Linked DNA regions of Schizosaccharomyces pombe. Changing the gene in region 1 together with any one later gene gives a genetic interaction. Each region holds a gene or a part of one and is shown in the gene's direction. Other genes may lie near its edges.

Region 1 (3,433 bases):
CCGACAAGTTGAAAAAGACGGCGAAGCAAACCTATTTGTTCACTTATACAAATATATTAAAAAATAATTAAAATCTTTAATTTGTTAACTCGGTAAAATCGTTAAATTATCGCTAAATAAATTTATCGACCTTTATCAAATTTTCTTCATTCAATTTACGAGTTCTCAACCACCGTTTCGTTATAAATATTTGCGTATTCAACGTTAAAAACCGTAATTATCCTTCTTGCCTTTCCGGCCCAGTGGAAGTTCCAATGACGCCGCGGAAGGGCTGCACACCTCAGTAGCGAATATGGGGAAAGAGCAAATTCATGCTTGCCACGATGACTACCTGGATGCTTGATGTAGGTGACGTGTTACTTAAGATGAAAATGTAAATACAAGAGAAGAAATGGGTCAAGAAGGCGATTAATGGATGAAAAGAGAAATTATTCATAGAAAAATTTTTCCTTAAATATGCGCTTTTATTAATCTTTCGTTTAGGTTTTTTTCTCTCGTAAATTAATTCAGATATAGGTATTTAATCAACATTGCCAATTTCAACAAGTTTTAGGGGTTACGTGCAATAGTTTTATTGTTCTATTGTTTTTTAATTCTTCTCTCAATCCTAACTCTTGAAATTTTGTCGTACAAGACATTTTTCGCATTTCGTCAAGTTAAATTTTATGTTAAACTAGAGTTATTTGCGAATTAGGCTAATGAGCAGAAACCACTTGAATATACAAAATTTTATTTATTTATTTATTTATTTATTTTTTTTAAAAAAAGAGTAAATGGTAATTAATCTACTAGAAGCGTAAAAAGAATTGTTCAATACTTCAAAAAGAAAAATATGTATATCATATATCAAACCAGATTAGCAATCAATGCCAATAGCTTTATTCATTGAAAAAATAAAAAAAATAAAGAACGGTTATAGATGAGTCAATTAATTTCGTACTTTAACGTTAGTTGGTTTATTTCGTTTTTGTACAACATTATTTACTTTTTTAAATACTTAGTTCCTGCTTATCATAATGAATATAGCTAGCTTCATTAGTTAAAATTATTAGTATAGTTTTCGAAATTGTAAACGCTACTATAGTTTCTTTTTTCTGTAATTTCCTAAATTGCTTCAAAACAGCATTTGCAATGCAGCACATTCTCAATTAAGAGCAGTTGTAAGCAAAGAGCAATGAGAAATCTTTCAAATTAGATAAAATGAAGTACAGTAAGATCCACATATTCAACAAAGCTATCCTTTCCCTTTAGTGTCTCTGTTGCTATCACTTATATACGAAAGCATGGCATTGGAAGCGTAAAATGAATCATTAATTTTGCAGATGTAGTTTTCTGGGATCAGGAAATAAAAAATTTAAGAAATTTCAAAAGAACTTGAGAAGAAATTGATGAACTAGTTGGTCTGTAGGCAAAAGATCAATGATACCAAATTGTTTCCTTGATAAAAGTCCCATTGCCAAACAAGAGTATAAGTTAAAAGAAAGTAAAGAAATAAGGAAAAATATAAATTGATGATACAACTATACTATCAAACTATTCTTTGCAATTGTCAGTTTTAAAGTTGAAACCTATTTCCTGTAGGATAGACAAACGAGGAAGCAAAAAATACCAATAAAAATGTTTATGATTTTCAACTAGTTATGTATAATTTGAAAATCACTTTAAATTGACTCTCTATTGAAATCACCGCCATGTCAGTTTCAACTCTGATCAAAGATCTCATGAACTAAGGATTGCATTTGACATTTGGAGTTACCAGGTAAAAGAAGAGGAAAATTTTGGTAAAAGGTTGAACCGTTTTGTCTACGATCTGTTGGTCCATTCGATTTCCCAGCATATACCTCTTCTTGTCCAAACCACGAAACGTAACCTTTAATATTCATGTCTCAATCTTTTCTACTATAATTAAACTCACGTATAGGATTGACTATACAACATCAATCTCCAAGCTGTGATAACGAGTATTTTCCATCTGATCCCAACCAACCTTTTAGGAATATTTATCCTTTCCAAAGCAAACCAAATCATTTCTTTTCGAAATTTGATTTTTTTAACAAAAAGTGTTAAGATCGTAAAAATAACAAATGCCTCCATCTACAGTTAATCAAGAAGTCAATTCTATCCTATTCATCAAGAACTTGTCTTTTAAAATTACAGCAGAAGAGATGTACGATCTTTTTGGTAGGTATGGTCCTGTACGACAAATAAGGCTGGGGAATACGGTTCAAACAAGAGGTACTGCATTTGTGGTTTATGAAAACGTTCAAGACGCTCGTCGAGCTTGCGAAAAGCTTTCTGGCTACAACTTCATGGATAGATACTTGGTTGGTACGTTATCTTAGGGAATGTATTAGCTACTATTAATTTTAATTTCTCCTTTCTAACGGCTTTTTAATATCTTCTTGTTAACTTTTTTTTTAGTGCATTATTATAACCCTGAAAGAGCTAAGGTTGATGGTCAAGATTTGGCAGCAAGGTATGCCGCCTTGGAACAAGTTAAGCAAAAATACGGTGTTCAGTGAACGTTTACTATTTATTTACCAAAAAAAAACAAACAAATTAGGAGTCTGATATTGACTCCATTAACGTGTAATAGATTTCCTCTTTCTATAAATTCTGTTGAAGAGAACATACAGCAGAAAAATGAATCGGCTCATATTAAACAATCGTTTACTAGTGTTTCGAACCTAGGTATAAAAAAGGTACTATAAGGACTTGAATTTTATTATATTTCGCTTAAAGCTTTTTAGTAATAATAATGTAATGCATTGATCTATAATATAACAACGTCTACATGTAGTATTAAGATTTGAATCCCTAATAAAACGTATCCAAATTTGCCCAACCGTATTTCCCAATTAATAATTTTATCTGGCACAAACTTCAAATCATAATGAGCTAGTTTCCAAAGTCCAACCCTTCCAGCTTCATTACCAACACATAACTCACCACCCTTACCAAAAGCTAGGCATGTAACTCTGCCTAAAGGCGTAGCGCTGGTGGGCCAATTACGGAACACACTAAAGCTGGGAACATGAACGAGTCGTAGAGTATCCTTCTTTCCTCGAGATGCGATAGCTAAAACTTGACTATCTTGAGAAAAGCTCATACTATTTATGCTGAAAGTAATATTATCCAATGTAGTGACAGGTTTTGGTGCAGCGTCCGCATTGGATGTCTGGAGGTCATATATATTAACAATACCACTCTTGCTACCAATTGCCAAATACTTATTAGATGGGTCCAAACAAAAATGAGTGGTAGATACACCATCTTGAACTTGCCAACGACGAACGACTGAACGTTGCTCAACATTAAAATGCCATACCTCCGCACCATAACTAAGCACCAACATTTCCGACCCGTCAGAAGTGAACAAAACGTCGGAAAGTACACCTTCAATTTTAAAGCTTGTAGCAAACTGACCAGTAAG
Region 2 (3,761 bases), on another chromosome or scaffold:
TTTAATTAGTATGGTTCATACCTTATTTAAAAATGAATATTCATACCTTGAAAAACTCCAAGTTCAGGCCTGCCATTAAGAAGTTGGGTGTTGCCGTACTAGGGTTAAGCCTACTAAAATTGCAACGTCTTTATGCGAAGCATTTATACATAAGAAATTTCTCAAATGAATACACTCATAAATGAATTGAAAGCCACAAAATTAGTATTTAAAAAAGATAATTACTTATAAATATCTAAATCGACTATCAGGGTGATAATCTATAAAGACAACCTAAAGCTTAATTTAGCTAAGCATGACCACACTCATTAAAATGTGTGAAAAATAGATGATTATTAATGGAGAATATATTAACAGTAAAAGAAAAGTAACGTTTGAAAAACTCGTAAAAGATGTCAATTCGTTTTCGGACTAAATTAATTTAACTGCCCTAGCTTTCAGGTACAAATAATCCAGTGATTGCACAAGAATATATGAAAACCGCATTGAGCAAGAACCTATGTAAAAATGTCTCGCGCTGAATTATTTATAAATAGTTTCTTGAATTTTATCTAAAGCAAGAGCCTAAAACCTTCATTATATTAAAAAATGTAATAAAAGGCAAAATGTACTTTCATTGAGTGAAGCAAAAAAGAACAAGGAAGTAAGCCAGAAAACAAACAACAGATATGTTAAGTAAAAGCACAGTAAAACTACCTTATTAATCTCACCAACAAAAAAGTTGAGAGGTAGACAGATAAAAACGAAAATGTAGTTTAATCGAAGATATATATGCAGAAGAAAACTTTGATAATAATGCATACTAGGGGTGAAAAGCTAAACCAATCCATCGTATAAAGAAAGGGCTGACACGATAGTCGGATCACGTTTGGACCCTTCGCAGAATTCCTCAAGTGTCAGTTGCCCATCTTTGTTTTTATCCATCATATTGAAAATCTTGTTGACGCGCTAAAAAATTATTAGACATTATGCTCAACATACTAAATATTCAAACCTTTTCAGGAGTATCTTCATCCTCCGGTAACTTGACCATGCTACCAACCATTTTGTAGATAGCATCAACAATTCGTAGCATTTCGTCGTAAGAAATCAATCCATTATTATCAAGATCGTATAATTGAAATGCCCATATAAGTTTATCATTCAGTTCACCTCTCGAAGTCACACTTAAAGCACAAATGAATTCTTTAAAATCAATGTATCCATTTTTGTCAGCATCAAAAACATTAAATACATATTCAGCGAAAGCACTCGGATCACCGAATGGGAAAAATTGTTTATAGATTTTCTGAAATTCAGACTTATTCAAATGGCCAGAAGGGCAGTCTTTAAAAAACCCTGCATACTTGTTAGATTCAGCGTTAAACATTCAATTTAGCAGCAATTAAGAATCTTATTCAAATTGCAGAACCATGATGCGGATGTAAAATCAATTTTTTTAGGATAGCTGTCATACCTTTATACCATTGTTGCAATTCCTTTTTATCAACTTGGATTTGTTAGTATTGACTAGTTTTACAAAACGTACACCTTGTAGAACGAACTAAGTCTTGGAGTTGATCTTGAGACAATTTTGATTGTGATTTTCCCATCTTGAAGACAAGTTAATCTTTTCTCAGAGGATAGTTGGTTTAATTTATAATTTTTTTTAAGTAACTTGTCGGATATTAAAGTTGTTTAGCAATTAGCAGTAGTTGAAGTTGGGGAGGCGCAGGGTAAATTGAGTTGTCAATCGACAAGTTGTAACTAGTGTTAAATGGTATTAAAACAGTTCCTATTTGGCTCATTATAAAAGTAAATTCATCTTTTTTTAATTCTAAGATATGTAAATTTACGTATACATGTTTGGCAGAAATTTATTAGAAAATTTTTAAACTAGTGTATTCCAGATATATAACAATTTATGTGAATAATAAAATATGCAAGCTTTGTTGATACTTATGTGAACGAATATAAAAAAATATTTAAATAGTAAGCATAAAAAATGATTTTTTATAGATCACTGAAAACATCAAGTTGATGTTTTGAAAGTTCATTTGTACATTAGTTATTGATCTTGTAGTTTTACCTTTACCATCCTTTATTACAGTTCAGAAAATACATTTTTTATATTTTAAATCTATCTGTTTCAAAAATAAAAATATGAACAAAGTAGCTGGAATTTAACTACAATTGATTATCGATGGATATTGAGATTCCACTGCGCCGCTTGGTAAATTTATGTAAATTTTCATTTTTTACGCGTTGAAATAACTCACCACTGATTAAATAGTGCATTCTCTCATTATTCGGTTTCAAAACTATTGAATTGTCGTTGAAGCAAAGCTATTAATATCATTATGGATACCTACATGGAAGAAAGAGAAGCAGGTTGGTAATTATGTTTAACATTTCTTCGATTTTCTAATCATTTTCTTACTAATGTCTACAGGACGGTTGGAAATTTATTCCGTCAAGAGGAATGTCTTAAATATGTTTTCTATAGTAATTGTTTCTGCAACTTACTCTATTTCGCTCGATTCGACAGTTTTATATCCAGCAGTATATCATGCAATTGTCAATCAACCGATGCTAGGTGCTAGGATCCACAATTGTCATAGCAAAATTCCCATTGTAAAGAAGTTGAAAACAATAGACCTTGATAAGGTCGTTAAATATGCTGATGATCAGAAAGTTGATAGCTTCTGCAATAACGCTCTTCAAAATTTTAAGCTATGTTATGACGATGAGACACTTCCTCTTTGGATGGTCTATGTACTAAATGATAAGTCCGAATTAGTTTTTATATATGATCACTCCCTTTTCGACGGAGGAAGTGGCCCTTTGTTTCATAAATATGTTTTGGAAGGATTACAAATGTCCAAAACAAATTTTTCATCTTCAACCGTGCCAGTATCAGAATTACCACTTCCTAAAAATCTTGAAAAACTAATAGATGTTCATCCTTCATGGTTTTGTCTAATGAAAGCACTATGGACAAACTCTGGACTTCCGTTCTCTAAGGGCTTTCGGTCTCCTTCTTATAAAGGTCATGCTCCAGTGCGTCCATTTTCATCGCATACAATATTCTTTTCAATTTCTAATGCTGTTGTTAAAAACATCAAGCAACTCTCAAAAAACATAGACGCTTCTTTCACTTCGATTTTTTATTCTGTCTTTATGCTCAGTATATATTATGCTATTGCTAAAAATGGTAAAGTTAACCTAGATATGCTCATTGATGTGAATGCGCGCCGTTTTTTGCCCGTAGCCAAGCAAACCATGGGAAACTATGTGTTTTCTTACGTTCATCATCTAAACGGTTTTCAGCCAAGTCAGCGTCAGGAGGACTATAAACATACCATGGTAGATTTAGCAACTGAGTTTTCGCATCGATTAAAAGCAGCGCTTAGCAATCCTAGGGAGATGTCTCAACAAATTGGATTGCTAAGTTATATTGATATTGAAGACTACCTTTTAAAATCTTGTGAAAAAACTAGAGGAAATACGGCTGAAATATCTAATTTGGGGTATTTTAGCTTTCCCGCCGATTCGTCGGTAAAAATCAAGAATATGGCATTTGCACAACCTTGTTCCAGTCTTTCTGCACCTTTTGTACTAAATGTTATAACAGTAGCAGATGGTCCATGTTCGTTTTCCCTCTCTATTTTTGATGATGGGAACACCGAACAAACTCATGAGCTGGCTATAAAAATAAGGGATAAGTTTCTAAGTATTCTCGAAAAGGTTTCTATGAATTCATAGCCGTTCCCAGTATAAAA

Evidence for each region. A genetic interaction does not mean that the proteins touch.
Region 2: mutations in sap14 (region 1) and SPOM_SPAC18B11.03C together harm fitness more than expected from each alone (negative genetic interaction), as found in Schizosaccharomyces pombe (one large-scale study listed by BioGRID).

What each region holds. Positions count from the first base shown.
Region 1 is NC_003423.3:2,049,347-2,052,779, reverse strand, and holds sap14 (Pre-mRNA branch site p14-like protein), read left to right. Parts: upstream 1-2,011; 5' UTR 2,012-2,084; coding exon 2,085-2,328; exon of another isoform or gene 2,329-2,421; coding exon 2,422-2,522; 3' UTR 2,523-2,783; downstream 2,784-3,433.
Region 2 is NC_003424.3:309,843-313,603, forward strand, and holds the start of SPOM_SPAC18B11.03C (N-acetyltransferase), read left to right. Parts: upstream 1-2,066; 5' UTR 2,067-2,339; coding exon 2,340-2,370; intron 2,371-2,372; exon of another isoform or gene 2,373-2,431; coding exon 2,432-3,744; 3' UTR 3,745-3,761. Other genes in the region: ncs1 (calcium-binding protein), read right to left, coding at 817-948, 995-1,338, 1,457-1,489, 1,529-1,592.